Linked DNA regions of Drosophila melanogaster. The protein of the gene in region 2 interacts with the protein of the main gene of each other region in a pairwise test. Each region holds a gene or a part of one and is shown on either strand. Other genes may lie near its edges.

The links.
Region 1: the proteins of Neos (region 2) and CG11807 interact in a two-hybrid assay, tested with the Drosophila melanogaster proteins (one large-scale study listed by BioGRID).

What each region holds. Positions count from the first base shown.
Region 1 is NT_033778.4:15,198,199-15,207,236, reverse strand, and holds CG11807 (uncharacterized protein), read right to left. Parts: upstream 5,985-9,038; 5' UTR 5,918-5,984; exon of another isoform or gene 5,864-5,917; intron 5,771-5,863; 5' UTR 5,622-5,770; coding exon 5,406-5,621; intron 5,344-5,405; coding exon 5,110-5,343; intron 5,045-5,109; coding exon of another isoform or gene 4,283-5,044; exon of another isoform or gene 4,250-4,282; intron 4,216-4,249; coding exon 3,336-4,215; intron 3,277-3,335; coding exon 3,131-3,276; 3' UTR 3,062-3,130; exon of another isoform or gene 3,003-3,061; 3' UTR 2,771-3,002; downstream 1-2,770. Other genes in the region: row (relative of woc), read left to right, coding at 1-287; CG42391 (uncharacterized protein), read right to left, coding at 4,283-5,044; GPHR (golgi pH regulator), read left to right, coding at 6,207-6,248, 6,310-6,580, 6,641-6,866, 6,934-7,118, 7,178-7,359, 7,417-7,602, 7,655-7,930.
Region 2 is NT_037436.4:7,237,914-7,245,602, forward strand, and holds Neos (neosin), read left to right. Parts: upstream 1-3,714; 5' UTR 3,715-3,961; coding exon 3,962-4,383; intron 4,384-4,446; coding exon 4,447-5,140; 3' UTR 5,141-5,226; downstream 5,227-7,689. Other genes in the region: CG14829 (uncharacterized protein), read right to left, coding at 1-186; BHD (Birt-Hogg-Dube), read left to right, coding at 722-1,880, 1,970-2,072, 2,131-2,251; RpL18 (ribosomal protein L18), read right to left, coding at 2,388-2,864, 2,942-3,028, 3,313-3,315; mRpL50 (mitochondrial ribosomal protein L50), read right to left, coding at 5,292-5,721, 5,781-5,890, 5,947-5,976; mei-P22 (meiotic P22), read left to right, coding at 6,475-7,470.

The DNA of each region.
Region 1 (9,038 bases), on a different chromosome or scaffold from region 2:
CGGCCCCAGTTTTGCTGGATACCCAGCAGCAGGTACAACCCACCCCGGATTATGCTCAAGTTTCGGTGGTGCAACAGCACCAACAGCAACAGCCCTACGGACTAAGCAACTACGGCCAAAGCTCTTTAGCCACGGATATCGACATGCCACTGATTGGAGAGCTCTCTGAGCCAAATGCTCCACCCACGCCCCAGTTCCTGGGCGAGGTGCACACGCCCATGTTCGATGCAGTCGCTGCCGCCGAGCAGCAGCACTATCACGCCCAGCACCATCACCATCCGCAATGATACAAGCCCCACGGAAAGCTCAAATCACGCGACTATACCCTTCACTGGCAGAACTATTAGTTAAAGTTCATTCATATTCATCGCACATTGGCCATATCCCGAATTCCGTATCACCAATACGAAGGCAAATAAATTGTATAGCACCTATTTATGAATTGTATATTGGCCCCTTTTAAAATTAATGAAACATCATAAATGAAATCTCAGTTGCACAAGGGATTTGAATGCTGGATGTGAGTTGGGATTTTCAAAAGATCCGTTTTGAAAGGCGTAATCAATCCTCTGCAATGGGATCTTTATCTTTACATCTAAAATATCTTTCAATTCATTTGAATATTGGAACCTTATTAATTGTAAATGACAAACAATTTAAATTGTAAATGACAAACAATTTGTAAGTTTAAAATATACCTTCATATCCTTAATTACGACTTTTATTTGTTTTGTATTGAAAAGTTTGTGAATTCTTGAATACCACGCACACATGTGGTCTACGCAATTTCGTTTAATTGGCATGAATTCAAATTATGGTAAAGTGGGAGGGCACAAAATATTTTATTGACAGGTAAGGTAACCATTATTGTAATAAGGTTATTACAACGCTAATTATGTGAATTAGTGGTAAAAGCGCCAGCGCTCGCAAAGAAAAATCAAGGTGGATAGCAGCCACCCACATAGGAGTACTGCCCACCGCAGGCGCAAGGAATCGACATCTAACGAGTGAAATCCTAGGAAGTTTTCCAGAAGTCGAACATAGCCAGCGCGCATTGCATCGTTAAAATCGGATACTACCCAGTGCCGCAGAAGTCCTGCGGCCTGGATCCGCATGATGAACATGTTCAATGACGACTGCAGGTGGCAGTCACTTTTCATGGGATAGCCTATAATCGGGGAGCCCAGGCATGCCGATGAGAATCTGAAGATTGGCTTGAAGGCGTATTGCTGTTGTAGTGAGAAGAACTCCCATCTCTCCAGGGTGAAGGGGTAGGCATAGCTCCGATTGAATCCCAGAAGAGCGGACACCTGCTCACTGGCATTCACGCCCACTAATAGTTGCGCTACTCCGTCCACCAAATCTGGTTCCACATGCCGTAAGAATGTACTGACTTCGTAATATTTTACAAGTACCTTTTGCTGTTACTGGATGAGCTGCTGCATGCTGTCCACCTGCTCGCCCACTACCAAGGTGGTGAAGAAGCTGCCCAACATAATGCTGTAGAGGTTGGTCACCACAAAGCCCAGAATACTAAGGTGCACCGAAACTATAAAATACCTCAGGGATGGGTTGTAAATCCTGGAGGGAGAGCATATATTAATTATTCGGCTGATGCTATCTAGGATGTTGAGGCCAATCCGCTGATCCCAGGTGCGGTGCAGCAGACCAGGCTGAATGTAGTAGAGCACTCCGCTGATATAAATTACAGAACCGAGCAGTAGTATCCAGCTTGATTGGTTGAGAGGCAATAGTAGATACATGTAGCGAGATATCTCGTTCCTGACCGGAACAATAAGACAATTGCTAGCTATTAGAAGGGGATAACTGTTATCTCCCATATTTTCCGGAACGTCTACATACGGATGCAGGGAGATTTCTAATTGGCCATCCACAATCTGATTAATTATCCGACCCATATTCACGCTGCTGTTGATGGCATGCTCCTGCTGAGAATTACTGACATGTAAAGAGGCATTGTAGCGATGCAGGTACTCCACAAATGTGCGATATCCAAATCCTCTGATCTGCTTGCGTCCGGTTTTCTTGTCCTTCACGAAAAACACTCGCGGAATGTCGTTTTCCACTGGGGTAGACACCACATAGCCTTGGAAATTTTTGGAACTGAAAGTGCCACAGTCTCTTAAACGTGCTCATTATAGCTTTGCTGGATGAACTTCGTTTGTCTGATAGAATCACAATAAGGCGAATACCACGTAATCGTCGAAGTCTCTTATCCATATTAAACCAAATCAATTCATGGGAGCTTTGGCAAAACAACAAACCAAGCGAATTATCTGCATTTATGTTAAAGTGACCCAGAGCGTTTTCGTTTTTGGCTGAAGTAGATGTATCCACTGTATGACAAGTTACTTCCATCGTATTTTGAAGCCAACTCATCAAGTTATTCAGGTCATCCGAATTACAATGTCCGCCTAAGAAGATGGGGGTATTTTTCCAATTCTCCCTGCCGCGGATGACTGTCAGCACCGATCTCAGCAAAGTCATGTTATGACCTCTTCTATGGGGTTCCATCTGGGCACGAGTGAAAAGCAATAGGAACAATACCAGAACGTTGTACATGGTGGTTAACTGTGCATTGGCTTCTTGAAATCCTTGCATCTGACTTATAAGTTAGGCAATAATTGAAATAATTGTACATAATCAAGACTGATTGGTCCTATCAATGATCAAAAGCTAGGAAAATTGTTGCAATGCTTCCTTCTGAACTATGTTATACAATTTCATAATTAATTACGAACCTTTTTTTGTCGAGATATATAATTTATTTGATTTACTTAACTTATTTGTTTGGAAGTGAGCATTGAATTATTGCACATCAAGGGGGACAGAAATGATAAAACATATACATTTAGAGTTTGGCTGAATACGGGGAATTTTACAAACATGGAAATTTACAAATCACTTTGAATAAATTAAAATTACTTCTAACGTGGGAAATATCCTTGAAAGAAATCTTTAAACCGTTTAAAGTCCACAACCTTAGGAAAATAATATTTGTTAATAGGGTTTAGTTGCAAGAAATATCAATAGGCAATACTTATAAAAGAAGATAAGATTTAAAATTTCGTTCGCAGATTTGTCTATATATGGAATCGATAAAGAAGGATCACTTTTGTTGCTGACGTTGCTTTGATTGCAGAAGGGCGGACAATACCAAAGCAGTATCTAGCTCCTGCTGATTACCAGGTTCGTTGTCCAAAGATATTTCAGCAGCACGTTCGTGAAATCGAGCAAGGACGCGAGAGCGATAGTCTGCACATTCGTAAAATGTAGTATACAAAACTGAAATTATAATCATTTTCAAAACTCACCCACACTGCCCGCCAGCGGATTTCCAGTAAGTCGAAGGGTCTCTAGAAGCGGAAGATTGGCGACATGATTAACTTCATCAAGCTCCTCGATCTGATTGGAACTAAGGTCCAGGTTAACCAGTGAAAGTAGTTTTCGCAGACCACTTAGTGTCTTGATTTTGTTCTGAGCTAGCTTCAGAGTGACTAGGTTTCCCATCGTCAAATGCCAGTCCACACACTCTGCTATAAGATTCCCAGATAGCGAAAGCAATTGGAGTTGAGGAAGTTCGGCCAGATTTTGGACGGTCCGTATTCGATTCTGGTCAAGGATTAGGCGTCTGAGTTTTGGAGCTGTTCGTACACTGCCATCGATTTGGGTTAGCAAATTGCCTGTCAGGTCGAGTTCTGTTATCTCTTGCCACGCATCCGCACTGACCAAGGCACTACCATTAGAAGTGGAGGGACCGGAACCGGAGGGGGATGCAAGGATAGTCTCTGGCAGCAGGCTTGGCACATCGCAGTGCTTGTGCAGATTGTCGCAGAGCAGGACTTGATTTATGTTCTGTATGGTTGTGTTATGAACACAGATTGTCTGGAGAGTCGGCTTCAGAAGTTCGATGTCCACAATGTTTTCGGTAGACAAGGCCGAAAATTTGAGCGTCTTGAGATTGCGAAAGGCATTTAGATTAAAACTTAGTCTGTTCGGAATAATATTGCTGCGATCGATTGGCACATCAACCGTATTGTAATCCTGGGCATAGCTAGCATTGTCCTTGACCGGGGTGACCACCAAAGCGACAAGTTGTGTGCAAAAGTCCAGCACGTGCGAGAAGTCGTACTTTCCACCGCGATCCAGGCTCGGTGGGCAGGGAAGACTAAGCCGCTCACTAATAGCGTAGACCTAGTAGAAAGGGGAAAAAATAAAAAACAATCTTAGAATAAGTAGTATAAGTATATTTTATATTGATTTAAGCTGCCATTGCAGCCTTGGTGTTCTTTAAAGGAAATAGTTCTTTTTCTTCTTTTGCTAGAAACTTCATCATCAATTTGTAAAGTAAAGCTATCCCCAGATATTTTCTCTCCTTATCCGATAAACTTCGAGCTCGACCATAGTAAAAACCCAATCGTCGGTTAGTCAAGTGATTCATGCCGAGAGCATCAATGATAGATGCCTCACGAGTTTGCGCATCTTGTGACGAGATTCCCTGAAAAGCGCGTATTAGTAAGACTCCACGATTTGCCTTCCATATGGACACAATTAACGCCAATTTGGGATCTTTTACTAATGTGATGTTGTTGGTTTCATCTACCAGTTTCTGGGCGTTTTTTAAATGAACGTAGGGGCGGGTGGCCTTGCCTTTGCCTACATAAAATATTGCTCTTAGAAAGGTATACCAAACATCCATTAAGTGAAGTTGACTGGCCCGTTCTTTTAGATTATTTGTTACTCGAGGATCCAGTAATATGTAGTTAAAATAATGTCGATTAATACAGTCATTATCTCGGTACCACTTACTATGTTGTCGAACAAACTTTATAAGGTTACTGATATTCTTAAAATTGCTCTCAGAATTTATGGTATTTTCCAGCTCTGTAGAAAAATTTGTGTGATGCTTGTGGAGGGTACCCAGGGAGTAACTAATGGGTCTAGCTTTAACTTTGCTTTTAAAGTTATTTCTAAGCTGCAAAGGGATGGTTTGGATAAAGTTGAATACTAATAATTTTGACATTTTTTCTGTATATTCGAACTTAACAAAAAACGCAAAGGAAACACTTACATATAATTATATCTTACCTCTAGGGCTGAAAGGTTGTATTCCTTCTTGGAGCTGAGCAGAGCATCACCGCTTTCATTGAACAGCTTGGCAAGATCTTGTAGCAGATAAATAATGTCGTACTTGTTAAAGTCCAGAAACTCGGCCAGAGCTCGCGGCAGTTCTGTACGGAAGTAGATGAGAAGCTCCTGAAGATAAATTTCCAACTGTTCACGACGTTGCTCCAAAAAGGAGGGCTGCTTGTTTCCAACTAGCTGAAAATAGGAAATTATTCATAACTTACATACGTATGTGTAATAAATGTTTGGGGGCGTACCTTCTTCGGCGGCAGCAACTTCTTACTGATGGAGATCTCGCCAACCAGCTTCTCGTGAAGATTTGCAAAGTCCCGATAACGGCGCTCCACCAGCCATTCCACCTTGCCCACTCGCACCTTGATATCGTAGTAGGTCACTCCGCCGCTGGAACTCTCGTTGCTAAACTTTGGAACCGTCACCGTGGTGTCCGCATGCTGGCGGTAATAGCAAGCCATCGCAGTCCTTTCCGCTTCCCTGAGATTTGGTCGAACATCTGGATCCGCATCCAGCAAGTAATCATTTAATAAACATAGTCCAATCAGCCAGTATTGCCAGCAGTGCTGTCAGAGGTCGATGGACATTTGGCCATTAAGCCAATAAATGGCTATAGCCAAGAGGTGATTTAATGGGCAAAGCGTTATAATAATAAAATAAAAAATAAAATTTAATTCTTAATTTCAAAAAGTAAACTATCTACCTAATTGTGGCAATTTTCTTTAATGTTTCAATCGCTATTATTATTGTGCATTACCTAAACAAAGCTAAATTTAGAAACAAGAATATTAAAGTGACACCACTGCAATCGCATTAATTAAATACCAAACGGTATATTTTGTCAGTATGAAAACATCCCTTCCTGACGTGCTATCGAATTATCGATTGCTTGTCTTTCGGCTTTTTTGTTTATATTTGCTTGTTGGCATTTTCAGTTCCCAGAACAATTCTTTTTAAAGTTAATTAGCTTAACTAAGCAATGCCAGTAACAAGACAATCTGGAAAGTAATTGACATATCCGATCTGAAGGCAGACAAGGCATTAAAATGGCCTTCCTGGGCGACTGTGTTATTGTGTTCGTGTCGCAGGCAAGTGGAAGTCTCAATTTGGACATGTTAAGTAGAATAACTTTATTGAAATATATTTCAGATGATATTCTTCGCCGGCGGCTGGCTGTTTTTCAACAAAGAACTCTTCAAGCACTATGAGATACGACATATATCCGTTCAGTTGATTTTTTCATCCACATTTGCCTTATCCATAACCATGTTCGAGTTGATCATATTCGAAATCATCGATGTTCTGGAGTCCAGTTCAAGGTACTTCCATTGGCGACTGGGTCTCACGTTACTACTCTTTATGACGACGGCTGTGATACCCATTTACATTTGCTACTCCGTGATACACAGCATTTCTTTCTGTAAGTCCATCTCAGTGCATCCTAAATTTTACCGCAAATAACTTTTTATTTTCTTTTCAGTTTCCGATAAATGGGTCCGAATTCTGACCACATTCTGTTGGTTCATCTTTATATATGGGCTTTGGCGGATTGGTGACCCCTTTCCTTTGCTGAGCGCTTCCCACGGAATCTTTACGATCGAACAGGGCGTTTCCCGGATTAGTGTGATTGGGGTCACTGTAATGGCCATACTTTCTGGCTTTGGTGCCGTCAATTATCCGTACACCAGTATGTCCTATTTCATCAAGTAATGCGTTGCCTTAAATTCCATCTTATCTCTGTTTAACTTTTCTTTTTTTTCTATTGTTTGGCAGGCCAGTGTCTCGGAATGATATCATCTGTTTTGAAAGGCGTTTGGCTTTGACAGTAGAAATGCTGTCGGCCAAAAAGCGGAAGATTGCCATGGCCATCTATAATCACAACAAACTGAATCCTTCCAAACCCAGAATTTGGGATATGCTTGCTTCTGCGGTCCAGCGCAACACGAACAGTGGCGAAGGTTGTTATAGATGATATTCTGTGATCTATATGCCTAATTTTTTCCCTTAATTTCTTCAGACATCAATCAATTAAAACAGGAAGTGTATGGCTTGGAGGAGCTATTACGCTCTGTTTTCTTAGAACTTAGTTCATTGAAAAACATGGAAGAACGCCAAAGATGGTCTCAAACATTGAAGGGAAAGTACTTCAATGTACTAGGACATTTTTTTAGTGTTTATTGTGTTTATAAGATATTTATGGTAGGTCTATAATTAAACAACTTTATAGTTTCGATTAAAAATACGTTTATTTAACAGTGTTGCATCAACATTATCTTCGATAGAGTCGGTCGCAAGGATCCAGTCACACGAGGCCTTGAAATTGCCATACACTGGTGCGGCTTTAACATTGACTTTGCGTTCTGGAATCAGCATATATCATTTCTGCTCGTCGGCTGCATTGTGATCACCTCGATTAGAGGTTTGTTGCTAACGCTGACAAAAGTAAGTGCCACAATTTCTTATGTTTAACTTATGCTATAATATATTTTTGTAGTTCTTTTATCGCATTTCATCGAGCAAGTCGAGCAACATCATAGTACTTATTTTGGGCCAGATCATGGGCATGTACTTCTGTTCCTCAGTATTGCTGATGCGCATGAACATGCCAGCCGAGTATCGTGTGATCATCACCGAGGTTCTAGGAAATCTGCACTTCAACTTCTACCATCGTTGGTTTGACGTAATATTCCTGGTCAGCGCATTGACCACCATCATTGTTCTATATCTGTCACGCAAGCCAGTTCGCGTGGACGATTCCGATCTGAACTGATTTAAACTTGAGCGCTTCTGAGAGCCATTAGCCTCTCATTTTAGGATAACCCGAAACGATTTAGAATCAGTTAGCCTAATTATTGCAAGCTTTAAGTTATATATATCCGTGTATATACCAGTGTGTATGTATATATTTAATGCACATTAAGCTAACTTACTGTATAACGATGCACAAAAATCAAAGTAACATTTGTTTGATTAAGTGAAATAAAACAACAAACTGTTTGTCTCTGAAAAGGGATATTTATTCGAAGCTTAAATATCCCTGCCTTAAGCTTTAAAAAAGCTTTCCAATGCTTAATATAGGTCTTTGGGTTACTTTTACCAGTTGCCTGTTGGTGTAAGGTTGGCTCAATTTTGAGTGAGTTGCGCTTTAACATTTGAGCAGTTACAATTTTTACAGTATTTCATAACCAACGTTCCATTGTCTTAGAACATTACTCAGTAGTTCCTCGAGGAATGAAAACTGAAGGAAAACTCAGGGACAACTTGATGGGTGGGAGGCTAGGCTAAAGAAGTGCAAATGGGCAGGACTAGGTTCAATAGAATGGTGTACCATAAACAAAAAGTATTTTTATTTTAATATCAACCTTTCAGTTCAACGTGTAGTACATATTATGTATCGTTTAAACACCTGAGGCAAATTGAGAAGGTCTCTTAGACAAAACGTAAAAAAAAGGGCAACATAAAATTGCAATTACAATTAAAGATGGGCAACTTTTTATATGTCCCGGAAAACGCGACGTTACAGCACGGAAAAATAAAAATAAAAATTGGCAACTGTTCCGGGTCCCAAGACGGCAGATAAGGATATAACCATTTGCGCACTTTGGTGGCTAAAAATGCCATTAAAATGTTGCGGCTGCCGCAGATCCAACTGAGCGAAAAGCATTTCGAGAGTCTAGATGAATAAATCATGAAATAAAAATGATTGAGGGGCACCAACCCAGAGGGAAAAAAGAAGGGGTTCGGGTTGCGGATCCAAAACTGCAGTCAAAAGCGCAATATATGAGGTGAAATCAATCAGCTGGAAGCCCGGTGAATTGGTAACTAAACACGGAGGAGAGACAACGCATTGCCTAATTAGACAGAAAACCGTTGCGAAA
Region 2 (7,689 bases):
GGACAGCACGGGACCCACTACCAAACGGATGGTTCCTCCATTCCGGTAGATCAACTGATGCCTCTTCTGGCGCGCATGCATATACTCCGTAATATTTTGGCCAACTGGAGCAGCTACTAACATATACGCACTCCTAACCACAGGTAATGAACAGGCCAATAAATATATCCAAGAAACCAGTTGCATTGTGTGGAAAAACGTCTGTAGGTGGCACAATAACTTTCGAGAATGAAACTCACTGGAATCGATACCCATTTGTGATGCTGAAAATTAAAGCATTATGGACTCAAGCAATTAGCATCCAAATTGGGTTATAAAGACATCCAGATCTGCTTTACATTTTCGTTCTGCATAATTAATTGGGTAAATAATTACAGATACATTTCTACATATCTTAAAAACACAATTCAAAAATTCTTTCTTAATTTGAACTTCTATTAACATAAGGAATTTATTGTCATGTGTATTTATTTAATATTATGTCGTCATAGCACATTGATTTATAGTTTAGTATTTATATTTTACATATACAAAACAAGAATAAAATGTATATTCCCGCAAAATTTAAAATATCGCTTAAGAAATCCCTGCAATGTTTTCTATGTTCTTACCGCCATTTCTGGTATTTCAGTGAATGTACGCAACTGGTCACTCTAGTATTATTAACTAACAAAATAAACAATAACATAACCAAGGATATAAAGGAAACTGTAGAGCAGCGATGAACGCCGTGATAGCGCTGTGCCACTTTTGCGAGGCGCACGGTCCCTGCGCCATCTTCTGCACCCAGACACTGAGGGACACCAAGCTGGAGGACCTGTCACTGGAACAGCAGACGCAAAAGACCTGCTCCGCCTGCAATTACTCCATGGGCAAGAATAACAATGCGATCTACAGCAGGGACACGGAAAGCGGGGCCACATTCGTCAGCACCAAGGTGGCGGTGCTGCCGGAGGTGGCCAGTCTGGTCAAGCAGGCGGCGGTGCTCAGTCTGAGCAATGGTACGGATGCCAGCAAGGATGGCGAGTTCGTGTTCTTTGGCGATTCGTCCAGGGGTCACATCCTGAGTCACACCTTCCGAGTGAGCGACCTGCAGGCCCGCGGCTACTCGCAGCTGTTCTCCATCATTGTGCTGATGAAGGACAAGTATTTCCTGCTTAACATCAAGCCCTTTCTGGCGGAGCACCTGAAGAAGGTGTCGTCGGAGCTGCAGGCAGCTGCCAAAAAGACCAAGGAGACGGAGGAGCAGACGTACTCAGAGCGACAGAGGCGTCTGTCCGGCGCTCAGTTCCTGATGCCCACTTCCCGTGCCTTGCTGGAGCTAACAGGCGAGGAGCACATCTTCGCCCAGTTGCACTCACACTTCTCGTGGCTCCTGCTAGCCGGATCCCGCTTCCTCACCGAGCACGTGACCTTCGGCAACCTACCGTGGCTACCGCCACAAAGTAGTGGCCGTCCTCCCGCACAGCGACTCACCTACAACAGTTCCACACTGCCAATGATAGAGAGCATCGACGATCCCGATCTGGAGGAGTTCTTCTCGTTGCGCCATCTCAAGAGTGTCGTCCGCAAGGAGGAGTTTGCCACGGTCTGCTATTGTGCCTTGACTGGGGTGAAGATTGTGGTCAGAGGTGATCCCAGAAAGACCTTCCGTTTCATGGTCTGCCTGAAGAAACTCCTGCCCGAGCCCATGCACAATCTAATGCGAATCGATGCCCAACATCAACACTCCATCAGCTCCGAGTACAAAATCATATCCGTGTCCAATGACATAGCCGTGCCAATGGCCAGTAGCTCCGTTTATCGGATCGATTTTCTGGACAAACACGTCAACGGACACGAGGTGTCGGTCAAATGGCCAGGAGAGCTGCCACGAAAATGTAAGCTTCACATCCAATCCGTTCCCGCTTTCACTGATAAAAACGAGTCGGGGATATTGATATTGATTCTATTGATTCTCCCACTTTAGTGCCAGATCTTATGGTGAAACTTTTAAAGGCGGTGGAGGAGAAAAACTTCACAGAACTCGTGCTGAACAAGCAGACCAAGGTGCTCATCGAAGAGTGGAAAAAGTGAGTAGCCGTCCTATTTTGCTGCACAGATCCGAACTCAATTGAATTCCATCTACAGCAAAGTGACCTGCCTCAACCATGCCAAATCCACCAGCGTGCAGGGCAAACTTAAGAAGGTGCTTGGCGTGCAGCCGCACGATCAGCCGATTATTAACTACTGGAGCACACACCTTCACTAGTACAACCGATTACCGCACAGATTAAGGACTTTCTTTTTCACCTTTTGGAATAAAACTCTTTTATTGCCGTGCGATGGCGAGAAAAATCATTATCTTAACCAAAAGGATGCCGAATCCAGTCCAGTCAGCCAGTCGCTTACTTCTTGTAGCCGCAGCTGGAGCGACGACCACGAGCACGCTCGAACTTGCGTCCCTTAGAGCGGACATAGGGGCGGGTGTGCGAGTGGGGCACACCGGGAGCCTTGCCGAAGTGCTTGCAGGCGGTGCGGGCGGTACGCCTGCCCTGCAGCAGCAGCGTGTTCTTGCCGGTGGGCGATCGGAGAGCCAGTTGATCGAAGGTCAGGACCTCACCGCCGGCCTTCAGGATGCGCTCCCTGGCGGTCTGCGTGACGTGCAGGGCGCACACGGTGAGCTTGGGCACCACCAGGAGGCGGGCATCGTCGGTGACGGTGCCGACGACCACGATGGTAGACTCCGGCTGGTTGGCGGCCTTGAAGAAGCGAGCGATGCGCTGAAGCGATAGCGGCGGCCTGTTGATCTTGCTCATGAACAAACGCTTCAGGATGATGCGGTTGAACTTCTTGTTGGTGCGGCGCTGAAGGAAGCGGTACAGCTGCGGGGGCAAACAAAGAAAAAAAAACAGATTAATCTCCACATTCAGCTGGTAGTCAACGCCATCGAAAGCCTCACCTTGACCAGCAGGCGCAGGTACACATCCTGGGATTTGGGCTCGGTTCTGCGAACCTTGCGATCGTACTTGTGGTTGATATCAATACCCTGCAAACGAAACACACGTATTAGAACTGGTGTTTATGATCGGAAAAACAATTGGTCGGCATTCGAGCGTATGTTTACTACATATCCATGGAACCGATCAGTTAAACTGCTTATTTCATGGTATTTTAGCTTCACAAACTAGATGCCGCCCACACAAATTTGTTTTTATTTCATTCCGTCGCCAGGAAGCTTCGCAATGCACGTGGGCTGAGCCACAGTTGGCGTTTTAGGTTATTTGTCAGTTTCCTGCTGGAATCATTGCCGCACTTTTATCGGTAACCCACCATTTCTTCTGTTGAATGTATTAATCAACGCTAAAATAGAGAATTGGACATTAATTTAAGCTAAAAACGTGGAGCATCAATTTCTTGCACGTACCTCGCCGGAAACGAAAGCCAAAAGAAAGAAAATAGTGTGGCTGCACCGATCACAAGCAAGACGCTAAAATATCCAATTGTGCTGTTATGATAACAGCGTGCTGTTAAGGCGCAAGCTTCATTTATTTTCTAAGCGATATCCTAAGTTTATAAACAAAATTTCTAGCATTAATAATACTGTGGGTAAAACTTCCAAACCTCTAAATCAAATTAAAACAAAATTATATGTGAAAGCTCTTATTTGCTTGATATACAAGTGTGGCAACGCCGCTAATAACATCATTAGTATGACCATAGGATTTTTTTTTAATATTAGGGGGGTACAACAAAATATTAATAGTATCTGATTTTTTACATGGCATTTTTGTAAATTGAATTTCTAATAAGCAAGTTAATGCAAGAAGGTTCGGAAATCAAGCGACCCTTTTTTTTTATTAAAACTGATGCCAATTCTGAATAATAACTATTCAGCGGTGTGTATTTTTGCATTGCCTCGTCGGGTCACACTAGAATCTTCAGTTTCGGGTTTGTGTGCAGTAGAAAGCTTCAAATATCTATGTCTGATCCAGGAAGCGCCGGCTACAACATAACCAAGGATCCGGCCCTGGCAAAGAGTCGAATCTTCTTGGGCAACCTGCCGGTTTGCACGCGCGAGGAGCTGGTGAGCATTTGCCAGCCATATGGCAAAGTGCTCGGTTCGATGGTCCAGAAGAACTACGGATTCGTGCAGTTTGAAACGGAGGAGCTGGCCAATAAAGCCGCCTCCGCCCTGCACAAGTCCACTTTTAAGCAAAACATGCTCACCGTACGCAACGCCAGCATTAAATCGAAGGCGGCCAATGCTATCGCCAAAAGAAATTCAAATCAAGGAGGCCAGGTGACAGTTCAGGGTGGACTTGTGATGTCAGCGGCGGCAGCGGCAGCAGGTCAACCCCTCATCAATGATTGCGAGATCATAGTCCAAAATCGCGAGAATACGTAAGTTATGATCCCCAATACCTTATAACTCCAGACGATACTCATGGCTTTCATTACCTGCAGCAAATACGCAGAATACATTGAGGAGCGGCTAAAGAATTCCAGTCTGCGCGTGGATGTACTCTTTCCCAACGAGGACGTCTTGCTAGGCAAGGTCCTGGCCAACATCTCTTCGCGCGGCTGCTTGTATGCGGTATTGGTCACGCCGCAGCACGAGGAACACAACAGCATCACAGTAAACATTTTGTATGGCGTACCCGCTGAGCATCGCAACATGCCGCTGGAGGACGCCATCACCCTGATCTCCACCGATTTTAGGCTCAAAAAACAGCGCGACGCTGTCGTCTTACCGCCGTCAACATCCATACACAAGGGACAGCGACGACATCCCCAGGAAATGCAGGGGCTGCTGGAAAGGCTGGCAGACAATCATCCATTGACCGCGTCGCAGTACGAGGTGATTCTTAAGTACCTCGAAGGCGAACGCGAGGAGCAACTGAAGCGAGAGGTGGGCGAGGCCAATGCTCTGGCCAAGCTAAAAGCTCCCGATCCAGAGATCGAGCTGCAGAAGAAGATTCTTAGCATCATGAACAAGCCGGCAGTAACCGATGTCACCAGCGAGCTCATGTATCCCACTTTCGAGGCAGTCAAGGAGGACAGAAGGCTAATGGAGCTACTTGCTGACGATCGAGTGTTGGCGGCCCTGGAAAGTGTTTACAACTCGGATCTCAGACAGATTTTAGCCGAGTATTTATAGACTACCAATACTTAGTAGTATTCATTAATTTTAGCCATTAAGCATATTTAACATTTAATAAATGTAATACCTAATATATATGACGTAAATCTCGGGCTTCCAGAATGCATTTAATAAGTGTAAGACATTAACAACTAACAATTGGCTGTTTCTAAGGCCAGGATCGCTTGGCTTCGTGTCCCTCGTACTTTCCACGGTACTTGAGACCGGTGACTAGGGTGGAGCTCTTGGGGAAAGCCGTTTTGCCGTCGAATTTGGTATCTGTCTCGGGATGGAATCGCACGTACTCGTACTGGATGTGCAAATTCTCCGGCAGCTCGATGCGCTTCAGTGCATCAAACGGCACGGTGGTGTCCACAGCTGTTTGGTAGAAAGCGATAACATCGCTGACGGTGCGCAGTTCATGTACCTGGGAGTTGGGCACTCCGTGCTGCAGCTCCTGGAAGCACGCGTTCAGGAATTCGAATTTCTCGGAGAGATTCCCCAACTGGTCGGATTTCAGTTGAAGCGAGGCGGCTACGGTTCGAATACGTTCGGCGGCATCTGCAGGTGGGGAGTACGGCTTATGGGGACGCAAGAAGCTACAATCAGGAGAATATTTACTTGGTTTTTATGTAAATAAATTAAAGAAAGTGCTTACCCCTTGGCGGCGATGGACTCGCCGACAGCTGAAATGGTGCTGGTTTTGACGGGCTTTGCTTTTGCGGCCTTGGCGGCGGAGGCAAAACTCCTATGCAGGCTTCCCGCAAGCTAAATTCATGGTGGCATTGGATTTTAAGTGAACATTTTTATTATTTTTTACTTACAATTAGGGTTTTACGTAAAATCGCTGCCATTGGATGTGACCAGATTGAAAACAATGCGGCATGGCAGTCAATACTGAAAATATATTCACTATACTTACAGGTAAGGAGATGGTAACACAAAAATACTGCATTGAGCGTTGCCAGGTGGACTCACTGTTTACCCACTGTTAAATTTATAAACAAACTTAAAAAAAATGAAAACATTATGAGTATTGAGTTATTTTTAGTCGAAGATCTATCTCATAATAGTCTTTCTTGAAACAAATTTTAGTTTAAGCAACAATAAGTGATAGGATTTTATTTTAAAAATATATTACCTCATCAATTTCAATTTAAATCTAAATTCGACATAACTTTACGAACGATAACTTTATTAAATTGCGTGGCAGCTCTAAGCTTTTGTCGATAATAAGGTCCTGTTATTCAATTGATAAGTCCTGCTATCGCGCCAACTGTTATTTTTTTATAATTTTGCATTGAATAATAGTTTTAAACTACATTGGTGTTCTTTATGTAGTATAAAACAGTATGGACAGGACAACAGTTGTCCCGAGTCCGGCCTCCACCTACTGCTCCTTTATGGGTGGCTCCCAGCACTCCCCATTGCGGCGATCACAGCGCCTCATCGACAAGGAAAACCGGGATCTGCAGAAGATTCCGCCCAAAAGTCTTTCTCCTCAGTTATTTGGAAACACTGAAGATGATTACAGTGAACTATTGTTGCAGCAAGGGAAAGTGGTTCACCTGAAGCCTGCAGCTAAGTTGGTGCCCGTGAGATCCTCGGATAATCTAGTCCATCTTGGATCCCGGGATAAAGTTGTCCCCTTGAAAACTTCCAATAGAATCGTTCACCTGAAGCCTCCATATAAGATTATCCACCTCAAAAGTTTAGATGAAGTTGAAAAGACCGTAAAGAAGAAGAATAATATTCAGAAAGAAGTTCATCAAAGGAATTCACAAAGGAGAAGCATTCAATGCACTCCCAAAAAACGTGGTCGAAAACCAAAGCAACCGGCTAAGAAACTGCAGTCAAGAATTTCCACCGATCAGCTAGGAAGCACACCATCGCCATCCAAGCTGCCTGCCAAATATCCCGCCCATTTTGTTCATCAACTTCCGCCCGCTGAGGATTCCAGCTGTGCCACTCGAAGACGATCCTTATCTGCTCCAGCTATGCAACTTAGCGATCTAAGCCTCACACCCGATGAGATCCAAACTCCGGAGCGGCGCGGTGAAATCGTAAACAAATCGCCATCGGATCTCGACTCCGATGTCTCCTTGAACTTCTCGCTGTCCGATTCCATTGGCGAGATCTTCGGCACCAAGGACATCAGCAGCATTCTGACCATGCAGCGGCCGCGTCAGTACATTTTGCTGGAGGAGCATCTGCCCACACTGGCCACCATGTTGAACGTTGACTTGGAGCGACTGCGCTGCGTGCTGGATATCACTCAGGGCTTGAGCCACGAGCAAATCCTGCGCTTTCCGATAAAACATGAAGAGGATGAATTGGAAGTACCTTAGATATGATGGGGAACTTATAGCAGTAGTATAATGTTTTCACTTTGAATAGTTTTAATGTCCAAGTCCAACATATTTAATTCCCATAAGATCCTTGTTGCTTTAACTTAACATTTAAAATGTATATCTCCCTTTTTTTTTGTATATTTTTAAGTGGTATTTAATTGTTGTTGTTTTTTGTTGTTGTTGTTTCTTTTTCGTTATTTTGCCTTAGACTTTCAG